Kluyveromyces lactis: one gene and its partner. The protein of the gene in region 2 purifies or fractionates together with the protein of the main gene of each other region. This does not show direct contact. Links are inferred from orthologs where the notes say so. Each region holds a gene or a part of one and is shown on either strand. Other genes may lie near its edges.

Region 1 (9,802 bases), on a different chromosome or scaffold from region 2:
ACTGCAATAAAAGAATGAATAAACAGAAAGGCTCCAATCGTTAACAGCCCATTACTACGTTTATACAAGACTGTTCCCCTTTTCTAATGAGGACAGAAAATGAACCCCGTCATTCAATATAACATCATAAATTTACTTCTTTTCTGAAATAATGTTAAGGTAAAATAATAATTCTAGAAAATCAGTAAGTAAAAGGCACATTTTAGAGAAAAGTATCAAACATTATGCCAAAAACCGAACTGCAGCATTTTGACATTTTTGAAGCTACGGGAGAATGGTATAATTCACATTCTTCTAGATTTTGTTTTAGTAAGGATTATTGATAAGAATATGATTCAATCGAGACTTAATAATCTAATACTAATGCCGCGTATGTTTTTAAAATAGCCCCAGTCACTTAACGAACAGGTTGTTAACTCTATCGATTATCGGGATCTCCCACGTTTAGTATTTTGTTTTACTGCTATATGGCATCTGAAATACCGTTGCTAGTGCCTTTTTATTGGTTATTCCCATTTACTAGTAATAATTATATTTTGTACGTGCATTGCCGCTGTTAACACTGCAATTTTTTCTGCACTCTCCGTTTATCGCCTTTTGTTCACTTTTCTTTTTTCAACCCTTCTGGCTAACTTCGATCATTAGAATTCTAAGGGTCCGAAATCCTTTCTAGTCTAATACTTGTATTTGCGTTGTGCTGGTAGCAGCTTGGATACCCTTTACCGTTACCACTACAGAAGAGAATCGTCGTTTCTCTTCTTTCCCTAGAAGAATGATATGAAAACAAAAATATAAGCCAAACACTCCGTATAATCTGCAAGCCTTCTCTTTTGAATATTTCAGTTGTTCTAAAGCCATAGTATTCCCAAAAATTTAGATCCCCTCATTGGCTAGTGTGTAAATAATTTCCATGGACTGTGCAAAAACTTTATATCTAGTCTTTTTAGTGCTGACTAAATCAGTACTAACAACACAAAGAAAAATTGTAGGAGTTTCTGTTTTTACGTACAGTGAAAAGGTGCCTTGACGCAGAAATATTCGTACTGCAGATCAAAAAATTATGATTGAAAAAAAAAGATTCAATGAATTTCATTTGGATTCGAACAGCATTTTTTCTGCCTACAGCTGAAATCTGTACGATACTTTCTGCAGTTTGTCTTAGATATCTCGTAGCTGGCTTTAGTCCCCTCAAAGGTGAACATCTTCCAGAGAGCGGGGATCATGTTCCTCCAAACATTCCAAACATGGTGGCGTTGGGGGTTTATTTCTAATGCGAAATAAGACCACTTTTAATGTATTCCTACATGAGCATGATGTAACCTTTATCATACTTACAGACTTTGGGCCCAAAAATCAGTGAAAGAATTCGATAACTACTTGGTAAAAACAGGCTCAAAATTATGCAAATGAGTAATGAAAATGAAGAGAAATAAAGAGGAAAGATATCATAATCTAATCGTGGCTTCACTAATTTTTTGACTGCATCTTCTTGGTGAGAAATCGAGATACCCTTACCGGTGTGCCTCACTGCTAAGCAGATGCACAGTATTTCTCGGTGAAATTGTGCTTTCATTTACATCTTGCAAATGAGAGCATGTTCGGAGTCCTCAGAAAAAGATGCCGTGGTGAATCTGACGGTTAAATCCGGTATCACAATATCGCATGCACACCCCGAACAGTAAGTATCCTTTGATTTTTTCTATTATTAGTTTGCACGGTAGCTTCTAAGGCGACTGCAGCTATGCTTTAGATCAGACCCTATTTTTCCTGCTTTTATCATGCATTAATATGTCACGGCACGATAATCCTTTCACGAATCTAGTAGTGCAACAATAATATACGCAAATGGATAGGCTTTCGCTTTCACAAAAAACATAGTAGGATGTCAGTTAGAATGGCAATCTCTATATTGCCTGCTCTTCAAGTAAACAGAATAGAAATTGTTTCCCATAATTTTTTGTAGTGATGGTTCAGAACGTCTTATCTGTACAGCACAATCAGAGAAAATGTCAAAAAAAGCGCAAAGAAAAGAGAATTTAGAGAAAAAACAATGCCAAAAACAGTCCACATTTTCAAATCAGGAGTAAACCTTAGTTTGGCAGCCGATTACAAAAAGAAATCACCCTAATATCTCAAACTGTTTAACCGGAAATGTAAGCACAGGCTCTCGGCTGTAAGATAATGCAAAATCGGGTATACGATATATAGAATAGATAGCTATATACTACTACGGGTCCAGCCAAGACGCGACTGTAAGTGCCTCATGCACGAGGAGCTAAAGGTGGTTCGGAATCCACCAACGGAAATTTCGGGAATGTACATATTGATGTAGTGGCATTGCATCACGGTATTTGAATTTCCTGATTTAGAATAAAAAAAAGTCGATTACCTCCAGTACGCGTTTGGTATGGAAAGAAACCCTGGCAACATGACAATTATGAGTTTACCCACAGTGGCATTATTGACTGTTTTTTCTTTTTAACTTGCATGCAAATACGGCACATTGTTCATACTCAAAACGGTGTTGGAAAAATGCAACGGCAGAGTTGGGAAAAAACGGGTTGCTCTCCTTATATGCAAAACAAATCCGCACTTGAACTAGTTAGCGTGGCACAGGTAAATAAATAATAATTATAGTATCTGTTAGCACAATAGGAATTGTGGTAACCATGGCAATTGTAAGACATAATTCAATCAATCAATAAAATAGTAAATCGAACCAAACAAAGTACCGGTAAATCACCCTCAAGTTCCTGTACTCTTAATAAGCCAGAAACATTTCAATCTTGTAATCCGAACAACAGTTACTGCCAAGATCCGGCCTCCTTCATTCTGTAGATAAAAAAAACCAAGGAGAACACATGTCCTTTTGCATACAAACTAAAAAATAGGCACCTGAGATGAATCTACGAAATGAAACGAATTTACAGTGCTGGATTTTCTTCGCTTCTGCATTCTTTCTTAGAGGCCGATAAGCGTTTTTCCGTTCCTTCCCTTCCGACGCGTTTGCGTCTTATCCCACACATTGGTACGTGTGTCTTCGAATTATAGAGAGGCTCGTATCCAAATGCGAGCGTACGCTTTAGTCCATCTGATTGCCTGCTAATTTTTGACATGTAATAATGGAAGCCTTTCAGGGAAAATGATCTACGTCTATCTCTTTACCAAGCATGTTTAGCGATGCCCAGAACGAAAGGTATATGGGATGTTACTCAGCCAATAACTCCACGGAACGAGGGAAGAAGAGGAAAAAAGCCGAAGATTAACATTCGTGAGGAAAGAAGCATGATTTGAAGAAAGACCAATCAAATTCTTTTGAATCATGTGCAAAATTGGACTTACTGACTTGGGAAATCAGTGAAAAAGGCTGAAAGAACCCTGCCCATCTAAGTAACATGTAATACAAACTCAGCCAGAATGCTTAGTTAGTACGCTTGTATGAATAACAGCAGCACCATTGGTTTGCACCTCTTATGAACATGAAAACATGTAAAAGTCAAAATATTATACTAAAGAAAGTGAAAAAAATATGTACTTTACACTATATATGATGGTACTGTTGAACTGAAATTTTATTACTGAGTGAGTTTGTTTGTATGTTTTCTTTTTGTAATTCATTTTAGATCAGTCTAGGTCTAAGTCGTCATCGTCGTCCAAGTCCAAATCCATGTCTTCATCACCAATTTCTGATGAAGCTGGGTGATTTGGTAAAACTTCTAAATGAGATCCATCGGCACCCACTTCTACATTGACAATTTCTTTGTCTTTGATCTCACCCTTCAAGATATGGATTGCCATTGGGTTCAAAATCTCGGTTTGAATTAATCTGTTCAATGGCCTAGCACCCATATCCTCCGAGTAACCATTCTTGGTCAAGAAATCCCGAGCTGGTGGTGAAACGTTGATCTTGTAATTCTTATCATTATCCGCAAATTGCTTCTCCAAGTCTTTGATTCTGATATCAACAATTTTGTGAATGGCCTTGTGAGAAAGCTTGTTGAATACCACGATACTTGAGATTCTATTCAAGAATTCTGGTCTGAAATGTGCTTTAACGGCACTCATCACCAACTCTTTGGAACCCTCAGTAACCTTTGATCCAGTCTGAGCATTGATAAATTGGGCACCCAAATTAGAAGTCATAATTACAATACAGTTCGAACAGTCAATTGTCTTACCTTGACCACTAGTGATTCTGCCGTCATCTAACATTTGCAAAAGAACGGTCAAGACATCAGGGTGGGCCTTTTCGACTTCATCAAATAACAACACACTGTATGGTCTTCTCTGTAATTGATTAGTTAAGAAACCACCTTCTTGGTAACCAATGTAACCGGCAGTAGTACCTAATAATTTCGAAACTGAATGTTTCTCCATCAATTCTGAACAATCGATTCTGACCATAGCTTTTTCATCATTAAACAAGAAGGATGCGACTTTCTTAGCTAATTCAGTCTTACCGGAACCAGATAAACCTAGGAATAAGAAAGATGCCGGTTGATTAGGGTTAGACAAACCAGATCTAGAAAGTCTGACAGCGTTAGAAACGGCTTTCACAGCCTCCATTTGACCCACAACTTGTTGCGATAACTCACGTTCCATATGGATCAACTTTGTGTTTTCAGATTCAGTTAGTTTATTCACTGGAATACCGGTCATTCTAGCGGCAGTCTCGGCAATAACCTCGCTGTTAACCACGTTCTTCACCATTGTTTCAGAACCTTCCCTGGATTCTTCTTCAGCAACTTTTTGTTCCAATTCCTCAATACGTTTCTTGATATCCGGAATAGCAAAGTATTTCAAATCAGCTGCGGTAGCATTATCGTAACGACGTTCGGCATCCATGCATTTGTTTTCCAATTCATCGAGCTTCTTTTTGGCTTGTCTTAGTTGTTCATGAGAATCCACTTCCTGTTGGTAACGCTGTCTCATTGGTTCCAATTCCTCAATTAATGAAGCTTCCTTTTGTCTGGCTTGTTGTAGCCTTTCTTTTGTCGTTGGATCCGTTTCTTCATCTCTTTCTAATGCCTTGATTTCAACCTGTAGTAAATGCAATTCGCGCTCTTTATTGTCTAATTCTTCGGGCTTAGAATCACGAGCAACAGCGACACCGGCACATGAAATATCAACCAAGTCAATAGCAGAATCAGGTAATCTTCTGTATGGCAAGTACCTCTTAGCTAGTTGAGCTGCAGACACTAGGGCACTATCTAGAATTCTAACACCATGATGTATTTCATACTTTGGCTGTAAACCTCTCAAAATAGCTACCGTTTGCCTTGTCGTTGGTTCAGGGACATCAATCTTCTGGAATCTTCTTTCGAAAGCACCATCCTTCTCGACCAAAGATCTATATTCGTTAGTGGTAGTGGCACCAATTACCTTCAAGCCACCACGAGATAAGGCTGGTTTCAAAATATTAGCAGCATTGGCAGAATCATCTACACCTTGGCCCATCAACATATGAATCTCATCGATGAATAATATAATTAAAGTCTTTGATTCCTCGATTTCTTTCAAGACACCTTTTAATCTTTCCTCGAAATCACCTTTATATTTGGCACCAGCCGTCAATGCAGCAAGATCCAAAGAAAATAATTTGCAACCCTGTAGAATTTGTGGAACATCATCGTCGATAATTCTTTGAGCAACACCTTCTACAATGGCAGTCTTACCAATACCTGGCTCACCGATCAAACATGGATTTGACTTGATTCTTCTAGCAAGAACAGTGATGGCAGTTCTAATTTCTTCTTCTCTACCGATAACAGGATCCAACTTACCTGCTCTAGCCTGTTCAGTCATATCGATCGCATACTTCTTCAAATATTCCCATTTTTCATTTGTATCAGCGTCTCTTGAATCAATTCGTTGATTGCCTCTCAATTCGAGCATCTGCTGCTTCACAGATTCTATGTCAATGGAACACTCCTTAAAAATGCTTTGAGTTGTTGCATCTTTGAACAAAGCAGTCAATATATGATCTTGACCGACGAATGAATCTTTTTGCTGTTTCCTAATTTCTGAAGTATCTTTCAAGACCTGCCCGAAAGCATAACTTGGCTGAATTTCTAATGGTGCGGGCGTCTGAGATGGAGTCCTGACTAGGTTTCTGTTGATGGCCCTTTTCAAAGGTTCATAATCATATTTCGCTAATTCCACCAAGTTTTGTAAGAATCCAACAGAACCATCCTCGTTTGGCTCAACAAATGCAGCAAGTAAGTGAATTGGTTGTAACTGAGCATGTCTGTGATCCTGAGCCAATTTCTGGGCCAAACGGATAATTTCGTTGGCCTTATTTGTAAATTGTGTTTCGTCGTTCATTGTAGTAATATCTTCTTTCTAGACAATAAACTGTTGATGCGTTTGATGATCCTGACAATTGTTGTTTATTTCTATCAGATAGACCACTATTGATACAATTGATGTAATTGAATTCCAAAGCAGGAAGCACTCAACAAATGATTCTTCGGATGGTCTCCCTTTATATACCTCTTCACTACGCTTATATTCTATAAACTTTTTTTTTCACCTATTCTTTCTATAAGCATCTATCAAAAGATACCCTAAAATCACCTTATTAAGAAAACTAATAGCAAAGCAAAATATACCTCAACCCCTATCTCCCGGTACCAGTCCCAGCTTTAGTATTGCCCAATTCACAGACAAACAAAGCTCTAACAACTACATTACTTTTCCAGTATAAACCAGTACATTCTCGAATAATTCACTCACTCAAGGTTAAGCTTTTAAATTACCGTTGGGACTGACGTTCATGGCTACGTAAAATAGAAAATTGTAAGTACGTCCTTATTGTTAGTTGAATACTAGATCAAACAACCAGCTATCCCAGCATGTTGCTTACGGCAATGTAGAAGCTGTGTGGGGATTGTAAAGCTACTTAAAATTCACTCTGCTCTAAGCTAGAGTCCGGAACCGTGATAGCTAGAACATTACCGGATTTTTCTGGAAGACTCTCGAAAGTGCATGTCCACAAAGAAAACCGAAGAAAAAAACTGGAACAAGTGGATCACCATCACGTGATAGATTTTGAAATTTAACGCTAGGTTTTTGGAACGCACTTCTGTTTCGATGTCAGGCGTCAGTTTTGTAATTCACGTTAATTAAGACAATATCATTGGCATTGTGTCAAGTTTTGGATAGCAACATATTATTATTTTCCTTGTAAGATCTACATATGTATAACTAGATATTCCAGCTCATGTGCGTGATGATCTTTCGTTTTTGAATCAAATTAACAAGGACATCATGAAAGCAATAATGGAGCCTATGGACGAAGTTCTCTTCCAATTATAAGCATCATTTAGGGCAGTAGAATGATCAGTCTCAGTGCCATTGTAGTGACCGTCATCTGTTTTCCATTCAGTGTCCGTTTCGTTCTTTACCTCTTTGTAACCTTCCTTCAATGCAGCAGAGGTAGTGTGATGTGGTTTCTTGGTGAAACTCGTCTCAACACGTTTTTCTTCAGTCACTGAAGGTTCAGCTTCGGAGTATTCATCATCATCATCATGTTTTTTGTTCTTCTTGTCACTATGTTTTTTGTTCTTCTTATCTTCCTTTTGCTTTTTCTCTTCTTCCTTCTTAGCCTTTTTCTTCTCTTTCTTGGTTTTTTTATCTTCTTTTGGCTTCTCTTCCTCAGACTTTTCGTCCTTTGATGTGTCGTCCTTTGGATCTTTTTCCTTTGGTTTGTCTTCCTTTGGTTCGTCTTCCTTTGGTTCGTCTTCCTTTGGTTCGTCTTCCTTTGGTTTGTCTTCCTTTGGTTCGTCTTCCTTTGGTTCGTCCTCCTTTAGTTTGTCTTCCTTTGGTGGTTTTGGAGATGGCTTCAATTTCTCACATGGAACAATGTCAGCGCATGCATATCTTGTACCATTAGAATAATGTAAGGTAATTGATCTACCTCCAACAAAAGCGGGATCACCCTCGATCAATGATAAGTATGGATCCAAATATTCCGTCTCGTAATAACTGTAGTCGATGTTACCGTACTTACCACTTAAGTCACCAACTTCACATTTGGAGATATCATTACCGCATGGCACCTGCCCATTGTAAGGGTTCAAGTGTTCTTTTGTAGACTCACAAGTTGGATCGGATGGATCAACTGGTTTTTCGTGGATGTGATATTGAAGCTTTGGCTCCAAAGTCGATATTCTGACGTTTACCTTGGCAATTCCATCAAGACTAGTGAAAGTGTGATGTATCCACCAACCTTATCGGAGCCAACCTGAGGAAATTCTGCAAGGTAGCAGGCTTTCTCTGGATTTTCATAAACAACTGGCGCAGACTCTCTATCAGCACCTGCTAGTGCTATTGGAAGAGCGACTAAAATTGGAATTAGCTTTTTTTGTTGCATGACAGATATATTCTTTTAAGTGTAATTGAATAAAGACTTTGGTAAGTTTGTTTTCCTGGACTTGTTTAAAAAACCGGTTGGAATACGAGTGCTTATTTAAAAAGTTCCTTAGAGAGTTTCTAGGTGGTAATAATACTGTAAAGTAGAATAAGAGAAGTGCCTTTTGTGACGGTAAAAAGAGAAGTAATTTTATCCTATACAAAGAGGTTTATATATTTAAAATATTTCAGCGTGACAAGGAATGGGGTACAAATACAGAATCAGAGAGCCATGTCAGAAAATAGGTAAGAGAAACCTTTGTGTCACTGCACATCTTGGTTTCTGTGCTCAGTGTATATATTTTTATTTTGAATTTTATTCTGTCGCGGGACGTGCACGTCCATTAATTTTGTTAAAGTACCTTCGAGTATTTTTTTTAATATTGGGACAGCAAATATATCCTTGGACAGCGAAATTAATAGAGCTCTCCCATTAGTGTAATCACAACCGCAACGTCCGTTTAATTAAAGTAACGTAGCTAGAATATGGTTTGATAGAATAAATATGATGTTAAAAAAGTTATAAACGAGCTACATCAGGTAGCATTTTTTGTGACCAATAAATATACATATAGAATTATAATGATGATTGTAATTGTGTTTAAGGGTATTATTGGTGTGGAAGAAAGAGATTGAATGAGGGAGGATTTCTTAGGGTGTATCGCATTGAACAAATGAATAAAAGAATAAATTCAAGCAATTCTCCTCCGGGGGATATCATCAGCGTCCCGGACGCTTTATGCCCCCGTACGTACCCCAAATGGAAAGAATACCTGCTAGTAAAAAAGATCAGGATCCGATGCTATTGTATAAATAAATGTCGTTAGAATGAGTTTTCCAAACTAAACACCTTGTAGTAAGAGGTAGCAAACCTATCAGAAGAATAATACGTGGGGTGAGTGTTGTGTTAGTTGCGTCAACTGTTAGTTTCTTTATTTTTCTCCAGAGGCAATCCGGATGAAAGCGACAACAGTCAATGCTCCTTACAGGTGATGAATATTTATGCTTCATCCCAATGCAAAGTTGTGGATGATAATGATGCCGATGATGATGGAAAGATCTTGCATTAATTATACCATGAAACTTTCACCGCATCCGCATGTACCCTTAGAGTTTGGATTCTTGAAAACAAATCTAGAGGACAACTTATCATCTACCCAGTCCATTTCACTACCAACTATACTGAAAAGAGCCTTTGAATCAATTATAACCTTCACACCGTCTTGCTCTACCACTTCATCGAACTTTCCTGGACTAGTAATATATTGCAAATCGTAAGTCAAACCGGAACATCCTCTATTTTTAACTCCTATTCTTATTAGTTTAGGTTCAGGTTGATCGAGCAACCCCTTCAAATGAGAAAGAGCATTGGGCGTCAACGATATTAGAG
Region 2 (9,125 bases):
TATATCCAGGCGATGAGACGGCAACAATTGCAAATGTCTTTGACAAAATTTTATGTGTTTTGCCACATTTTTATCATCCATCACTCCTTGCATCCGAAATATAGCATCCGTTCACCTCTAATTCCCTATTTGGTTGTCTTATCCTCCGTCTTAATCGATCTTTCTAACTGGAGATTCGCACTTAATATGTTCTTAGATATCATTTTCCATTATAATAGAAAAGGTGAACATAAGCACAGTTAGATGAAAAGAGATATCCCGTAGAAGAGGACGTTGATATGAATACCAGAAGTGGTTATAAGATTACAGATATGAATGCAAATATATAGACGTTATCTAATTGACATTCGACAGTACCGGTTTTCTATTCTTGTTGTAATAATCTAAAAGTTGTTCTTGCGAATAAAGGGCCCTGCCCGATATTTCGAGTGATCAAAGATCTTGAGTAAAGGGACAAAAAAGGAACAACCATCATGTATGACTCGGACGTTCTCAATATGATCCCCTGCTTATAAAGCTTTGACCTCTTTATCTTCCTCGATAGTTTCGAAAGCATCACCGTGCAAATCCTTCAATTTATCAATCTTTAGAGACTCTGGCAACTTGACAGCAAATCCCTTAATTAAGGAATAGTCATGGACAATAGTACCACCCAGAGAAGAAATGGAGTTTTTGATCTTTGAAGCGTCGGCTTCTGGAACGCTGTCTTTGAATGTGATAATGAACGATTTGAATGTCATGATTGTTATGATTGGGGTTGTTTGCTTCTGGCTCAGAATGACCCCTTCTTTACCGAGACTATCAAATGTGGTTTATAGAAGAGAAAGTTACTGAGTCAAACAGATTTCATTTATAGAAGAGAAAGTTACTGAGTCAAACAGATTTCATTTATATAGCAACAAAGTATAGACTATAAAGAACAAAAGAAGTCAGGGACTGTGTAAGTGCAATCGCGTCAGTAAGGTATATTTTGGACGTTATAGGTATAAATAAATGAAACAAACAAAAGTATATACATAAATAAGAGTAAAATTGGTTGATTGTGATCTCTGAATTGTTTCTGCGAAATTGGGTCCTTAACGGTGAACTGCGGACATGCCATAGTTGTAAGGCAGTTTGTGAGCAGCAAGATCATATTTACATCGTTCAGTAATGTAGGTCAATTTCGTCGCCTTCTAGTCGGTCACTGAGCTCTTTGTTTAGGATATCCAGTAACTTCGTACCGTCTCTCAACGAAACCCACTCCTTTTGATAGTAATCGAATCGGTTGGGCCCAGACACCGGAGAAGCCAACCATATTTGTTTATTTGGGGGCTGCTTGTTGATTACATATGTACCAACGGAAGGAACTTCTATACTCATCACACCTTGTGACATCTCAACATCCTGCACGACTTCTGGATGATAATCACAGAGAATTTCGAGCTGATCCAGTAAGCTATCCATAAACTCATCAGAAATTTCGTGATACACTTCGATAGGCATATCCAGAATCTCTTCTGGGATAGTTTTCCCATCTGTTGATGCTGCTATACTGTTATGCATCCGCTGTACTGTAACAAAGGGTAGATTATGTTGATTCAAAATCCCGAGTTTTGACAACACAGGAGCCCTAGTTGGTGCAGTTCTTGCGAGACCTATGCTAGGTATCGCTTTGGTAACAATACTACGTCTGGAAATGACGCTTCTAATGACCCTGGAGCTATTTTTCACTAGCATTTATTCCTTATCTTCTAATTTCTTTCCTACTGTATCAATTCAATACTCCGAATAATTCCTTTGAACGTTGTCTGTTCCCGCAAGCCTCAAGGTAAATTTACTAATTCAAGCTAATAGCAACTAGGACTGATTCAGTTTTCGCACCTCAATATGTTGTATGCTGAACTCAACGTGATAGAGAATAACGTACCTAAACTGTGATTTCTCAACCTACTTCAACTGAAAAGGTCCTTCAAGTCTTTTAAGTTTATATCTAATTTCCACAATCTATATTGAAAAAAAAAGATCGATGAGCCGACACTCACACTATATGGCTAATGGCTATGCATACAAAGGGAAACAACTGTTTCTTAAGATATAATATCAACTTCTTGACGAAAAGTGCCAACTAGACGTCAGTACTGCCTTTCGCAATGAACCCATTTGTATATTTAATTGTGTTTCTTTTAGTGGTAGCTTTCGTTGTATTACTACCGCTAATTGGAGGAATTGGTTCATATTCAGTGGACAAGAAGACTACCAGACGCAGTGGTGATGCCAAAGATTCGGAAAAGGCTGGATCCCTTGCAAAATATGCAAAATTGAAGAAAGAGGATGCACCTGTGAAGTTTAAAGTTAGTTCATCACAAGAAGGTGAGGGATTTGGGACTCGGAAGTTCGAAATCGATGGGAAAACAGGGTTGAAGAAGCGTGTCATTGGTAAATACAATGAGGACGAAGCTGAATTTGATTATGATGTTGATGAGTTGATCGCGGAGGATTTAAGAGAGCAACAACAAGAGGAAGCTGCAAGGTATGCCCAGTATTTGGGTAAAGAAAATGAGACACAGGAAAATCTTGTGTGAGCCTTTTTGTTCTCACAAGTAAAGAGGTTTACGTACAGCGTTTCAAACTCCTCCAAAACTCTGATTGTAACATGCTATTATATTAGGGGATTTGTGATATTTATGTATCTATGTAACTAGATGCGTGAAATTGCAAAATAAAATTCAATGAGTTACTTGATCAACAGCAGGTTCACCTTCAATCTCTACGTTGAATTCATTCTCGTATTCAGTATCGTCTTTCATCTTCCCTGTTTCTGTATCATAATCGTACTCGTAGAACAACATGAAAACACCGGGGGTAGAAAGCACTTCTTGTTCGTCGACAATGTAAACACTTTCGTCACTAATTCTCCACCAGCAACCACGGAACCTTCTAAATGCAATGTAATGACCATAGTTATGAGTACCATAATGTACAATAACAGATCTTAAAACATATGTCAAAGGCCCGGCAGGAACGCTGGACACAATTGGTTGTGTAGGAGGAAGCGGAGGTGTTGGCAAGGAGTCATCTGATTCTTCTTCGGAGTTTTCCTCGTCTTCTTCAGCTTCGTCTTCTTCATAAGCTTCATCCTCATCATCATCTTCAGGATCATCTTCTTGCTCAGAGTTGCCTTCGGCATCTACTATATCGAGGTTTCCTCTGGAGATAGACACATCTTGATTGCCACCTAATAATGGTTTTTTGGCAGTCTTTTTTACGATTGTATTTCCAAGGGCATCTAACTCCACCTCTTCGACTTCAGCAATATCGTCTTCGGATGATGACAACGATGCCGAACTTAATTCACCATTCAAAACATCATGCTCTTCCACCATTCTTGAAGATCCATTGAACATTCCTTGACCATTATCACTTCCATCCTCCTCTTCATCGCTGTCTTCAAATTCTTTTTCAAATCTGCGATGCAACTTATTGTAGTATTCAGTTCCATTATTGTCATCTTCGGATGATTCGTGCCAGTTCTCTTGCTTCTTGGACATCGGAAGACGTGCATCAAGATTAATCTTATCATAATTGCAACACCAAGGTGATAGATTCAATTTGCTTTTGAATATAACTCTTGAGTTATTTTTCCTGATCATATAAGTGCGAGGGTCAAAAACGGACCGGTTGATGTGAACAGATAACAATGGTGGAGGTCTAGAAATCAAAATTTGTTTTGACTTTGAGGATTTGCGAACCATGTTCTCAGTATGCATCCTCTTATAGTCATCATCATCGATGGCAAGCTTTGACAACACTGATTTAACTTCATTGATCCTATCCTCCATCAAGGTTACTAGTTTTTGATTGACATCTGGCTGTGATTGGATGGTGTTCAGTTGTTCTACTAAATGTTCCAAAACAGCGTTCAATGCACAACGATTACAGTCAACTCCTTCGATGATCTCAGGTTTCGACCACTCGTCAAGAAGTTGTGACAGTTTGATTGGGGAACCGATGTTATCACTGGGTAAATTCAAAGATAGACCTGAGAAGACTGAATATCTTATCCCACCATTCTCACCACATTGCAAACATCCAATTCTTTCGGCAGTGATACCATCTAAGGGAGTAACAATTTTATATGGAGAATAGAATTTCCTACCAGATGCAAGCACGGAGTTTGGGTCGATCTGTTCCGTTGGGATATAGACATCACCAATCTCGCCGAGGTGTTCTTGTCCAACAATTGCATCTTCAGGCAAATCATCTTGTGGTACTGGCTTTGGATCCTTTTCTGGTTTTCCATATATGCTTTCAACATTCTTCTCCAGCTCTGAAAGGATAGTTTGGAAAAACTCTTGAGCATCTTCTTGATCATAACCTAGGATGATGTTCCTATTTGGAGCTTTTGACATAGTTTTCAAAAGTTTGTTGGTCTTAAACCATGGTCTGTTACGGTAATGTTTCGCATTCAACTTTGAGAATAGATCCTGAAGAGCCAATGTGAAATGCATATTAGGTTCTGTTGAGTTTTTTAAGAGCTCGTTGTCTGCTTGACGTACAGCGATCTTTTTCCTCTTTCCATATGTCTTATTCTTTGTTGCTTTAGGCTTCTTCTCAACAGTAGATTGCTCATTAGGCAAATCTGATTCTTCTCCATTCTCATCAATTGTATTTTGACTGTCATCATTAGAATCTAGGATAATAGTGTCCATGAATTTATGCAACTCTTTGGACGAGGCCAAACATTGGAGCACTGAATTCATAAAGCATGTGTTACCGTCATTCACTAAACCTCCAACATAACCACCTCTTCTGACAATAGTCTCCTCTTGCTCCGCATTTCTTGGAGCCCATCGACCAAGCATTATTTTATCCCTTACTGCTTGTGTAATTTCTTTCGTGGTACTTACAACAGAAACAGCCACTCTTGTGATATCAAATTCGTTCTTGTACAGGAAGTATAGCGAAGCAATTAATCCAATTAGTACCGCTTTTAAAACTCTCTTTTCTTCAAAGCCTAACTTCTCTAAAATCGTGGTTAGCATACAAACAATAATGTATAATTGAACGAAACGACTAGCGATTAATTGATAGGATCTTTATAACTGATTATGGTTTTTCATAAACCTAGTTCTCTTCACACTTTTGTATTTGTAAAAAGCTTAATCCGTATAACAATCCTACTCTTTGATGATCTTTAAAATATCTATTGCTATTCAGTTATTGGAAAATATTTCCAGTAAAAAGATTATGATAACTTTGAATATCAGATTGACAATAACAGTATCAGATTATCACAGCAAAATTGATACTTTTCCAGGCATGTATGTTCCTATCAATGGCAAAACCTATAATAATTTCAGAGTTATATAGCTTTCATTCGTTACATTTTTGAACTTTTTTTTTTTCATTTTTTTGGTTTAAGAACCACAGACGTATGTAATGTATAGGCCTATGGGTTTGGGTTCACTGGTAAAGAAGATTACGAGAGTTAACAACAAAACTATATAAGAAAGATGAGGATGTACTACTTGGATTAATTTACTTGACAGTAAGCGTTAAGGTCCGTTCCTCTTTGTACACACTAAAGAATCATAAGGCAACGATAATTTCTATATATCTAATAATAATGCATGGACATGATGGACAGATCTAGAAATCTAGGGGACAAAAAAAATAATAACGGTTTATATCATTATATATAGGAAGTTAATAATGGGTCATCATCACATGTAGAATCAGACAATTTCGGATGGAAGAAAAATGTCTAGTGTTGGAACAATTAATATTTTTTTTGTTTTAATGAACTCATTGCTCTTGTTGCTGAGGTTGCTGTTGATCATGCTGCTGAGGGGCATTTTCAAACTGTTGCTGTTGTTCTTCTAGTGGAAGTTGACCAGGAATTGGACCCATTTGTTGTTGTGGACGAATGAAAGTTGGTTTTTCCTTACCCCAACCGGTTCTCAAGTTTCTTCCTTGGAATGGGAAATTTGTTAGAGCCACAATACACAACGCAGCTTGTTCATGAGTATCATATTTGATGAAACAACAACCCTTTTCTGGGTAATGCTTGAAGTCGATGATGAAACCAAAGTTTTGTAGTAATGGAATCAAGTCGTGTTCTTGAGCGAAATGTGGGATGTTACCGATGTACGCAGTGGTAACTCTTGGAGGAGCTCTTCTCATCATATCTTCAACGGCTTCTGGATCCACTGGAGGAGGAACCAAAGGAGCTTGATGAATTGGAGGAATTCCAATTGGGGGTTGCTGTTGCAATTGTGGGGGTAGGTGAGATTGCATTTGGTGATGTGGTGGTGGACCAGCATGTCTGTTGATACCGTTGTGATTGTGGTGATTTTGGTTCTGATTGTTGTTATTACGGAATCCACCACGGCCACTGGCAGGACCATTGAATCTTCTTTGACCTTGTTGACTTTGTTGGGGTTCACGTTTGGAAGCCCAGTTGATTCTTAAGGCTCTGCCGTTCAATTCGAACCCTTGTTTAGTTTCCATAGCCACTTGCGCTTGATCTTGTTCACCAAATGATACAAAACCGTACCCTCTAGATCTACCAGATTGCATATCCCACATCACGTGAGCTTGAATGAAGGATGGGAACTCTTTAAAAGTGCCGGCCAAAGTGGCGTCATCGACATCGACGTTTAAATCACCGACGAACAAATTGAAAGTTTCATCGCTGTTAACCTGTTGAGATTGGAACGCCCAATTGATCTTAAGGACCTTCCCTTCTACTTCCTTACCATTTAGAGTTTGGTATGCGACGTTAGCATCGTGTGGTTCGAAATATTCAACAAACGCATAGTTACACTCTTGACTGTTCTTATCTGGAATAATTTTAACGCTGGAAATGGACCCACCAATTTGGAAATATTGTTTCAATAGATCATCATCAATGCTCTTTGGTAGGTTACCAACGTATAAGATTTTATCTGACTTTTCTCTACCACCTTGAGTAGCCAAAACAGGCGCGGCAGAGTCATCTTCCTCATCTCCTTCTTCTTGTTGTTTTTCCCCGTCACCGTTGTTATCCTGAGAAGCAGGCTTTTCAGATGCCGGTGCCTCCTCAGTAGCAGGAGCAGTGGTAGCAGCTCCAGGTGATTTCTCTTCGACGGTTGTAGTAGCTTCATTGGAATGATCCTGTTCGACAGCTGGAGCTGGAACCGGAACTGGTGCTGCAGTCTCAGTTTGTGCTTGTTGTGATTCTTCAGCAGACATTGCTATTCTATGTTGGCAAATTTAACGTAAAACAAAAAAACTCTATTCTGATATAAATCAATATCTTCCTCGAGTGAATAAACTGGTATACGTGAGTGAGTGAATGTAGATCTCTTCTTTAACACACTTAGATTAAAAGAATAAAACAATAAAAAAGGTTACAATTGCAATGTAGAATAGAACTCTATCCTTTCTGGCACCTCGGGTATAAACTTAAGCTATTAATGACTCTGAAATCGCCTTCCAAGTAATAGTACACAGAGGGTTTATATCAAATTGAGATCATAAACACGAATTCTACCAATGGGTGTCTCAAAATGTTAATTGAAATGAAAACCTTCGAATCTTTTTTCCTTCCAAATATCAATTTCCAAATCTGTGAAAAAATCTGGGTTTTCGCCAGCATTTCATATTTTCACGACTGTGAGTTTCTGTGAAATCGAATGGAAAACAGGACAGGAAAACGCAGGAAAAATTTCTAGAGCGTTTATTTCTAACAGTACTCAGAACGCGGTGTAGGTTCGACCTGAAAGATGCGTTTTGTTTTTTTTTTCCTGGCTTTTTTCTTGTTATTTACAAGAGAGCGATGTATTGGGTTCGTATATAGTGATAAGAAAAGCAAATTGGTGAATGCTTTTGGAGGTGAACTGGTATGGTACTGACGAGATTCGAATTGGGGAGCCACCAGAACAGTGGATAGCGTTTTGTTGACCGGTAAGCCATTACGGCATAGAAAAATGAAAATTTGATTTTACTGTCGAAAATTTGCTAGTATCAGGACGTTGGAAAACCTTAATCCTGAGCTACCTACTCATGTCATGTCAACTTTGGAGAAACTGAAATGATCATATATTAGTCACTTACATTACTATAGGAATGTTACAAGTAATGAACACTTGATGGAAGTAAAAAGTGTTTATATACTGGGATATATACTGAGACTGTGTATGCATTGAGCCGTTAGAATAATGACTGGAAGAAGGATTCATACATCGATTACAGAGGTTTCAAAGGCCATTGACCGTACCGTCGATGAAACTGCTTTGCCAATTGCTCATCTGAGCGATGAGGACAACTATTTCAGAACAAATCCCAGACCTGTGTACATGGACGATTTGTTAACGGAGGCTACACAGTTCATAGAGTATCAGAAGTCTCAAGGTCGCGAGAAAATTGTTCTGGTGACGTCTGGTGGTACTACGGTTCCCTTAGAAAACAATACAGTTCGCTTCATCGATAATTTTTCGGCAGGAACTCGTGGTGCATCTAGTGCAGAGCAGTTCTTATTCAATGGGTACTCTGTGATATTCCTCCATAGGGAGTTTTCTTTGACTCCATTCAACAGGCCTTTCATTCATAATACAGAAACTTGTTTCTTGGATTATTTTGATGAGGATGGGAGTATTTCACCAAAGTATAAGGACTTGATACTTCAAAATAAACGTGACTATGACCAGTTCATATACAAGGAAAAGAAGTTGTTGATGTTGCCGTTTACAACGGTGAACCAGTACTTGTGGTCTTTGAAGACAATTGCCGCTTTGATGAATAACAGCGGATGTTTGTTCTACCTTGCGGCTGCCGTGTCGGACTTTTTCGTTCCATATTCAAGGTTACCACAACACAAGATTCAATCGCAAGAAGCTAACCAATCACTGAATGACGGAAACCAAAGCTCTACAACAGTTGGCGGGAAATTAATAGTAAATCTTGATCCTGTGCCCAAATTTTTAAGGAGATTGGTTGAATCTTGGGCCACTCAAGCAATGATAATCTCTTTTAAACTAGAAACGGATAACAACCTTTTAATTCATAAAGCTCATCAGGCTTTGGACCGTTATAACCACCAGTTAGTGATAGGTAATCTATTGCAAACAAGAAACAAAGAAGTGGTTTTCGTTTCGGAACAA

What was found.
Region 1: the proteins of PUB1 (region 2) and HSP104 purify together in Saccharomyces cerevisiae (affinity purification with mass spectrometry; 3 studies listed by BioGRID). This does not show direct contact. The link is inferred for Kluyveromyces lactis from reciprocal best matches to the Saccharomyces cerevisiae genes PUB1 and HSP104.

What each region holds. Positions count from the first base shown.
Region 1 is NC_006042.1:1,664,804-1,674,605, reverse strand, and holds HSP104 (chaperone ATPase HSP104), read right to left. Parts: upstream 6,325-9,802; coding exon 3,625-6,324; downstream 1-3,624. Other genes in the region: Fe-binding Fe/S cluster assembly protein ISA1, read right to left, coding at 9,483-9,802. UniProt on the Saccharomyces cerevisiae protein: Required, in concert with Hsp40 (YDJ1) and Hsp70 (SSA1) and small Hsps (HSP26), for the dissociation, resolubilization and refolding of aggregates of damaged proteins after heat or other environmental stresses.
Region 2 is NC_006041.1:780,890-790,014, reverse strand, and holds PUB1 (Pub1p), read right to left. Parts: upstream 7,216-9,125; coding exon 5,788-7,215; downstream 1-5,787. Other genes in the region: protein geranylgeranyltransferase type I subunit CDC43, read right to left, coding at 1-93; PBI2 (Pbi2p), read right to left, coding at 510-740; YFH1 (ferroxidase), read right to left, coding at 1,147-1,719; EXP1 (Exp1p), read left to right, coding at 2,133-2,564; ubiquitin-specific protease UBP1, read right to left, coding at 2,709-5,024; phosphopantothenate--cysteine ligase CAB2, read left to right, coding at 8,184-9,125. UniProt on the Saccharomyces cerevisiae protein: May be associated with hnRNA within the nucleus and remains associated during nucleocytoplasmic mRNA transport, once the proteins are in the cytoplasm, disassembly of PUB1-RNA complexes may occur prior to PAB1 binding and formation of a translationally competent RNP complex.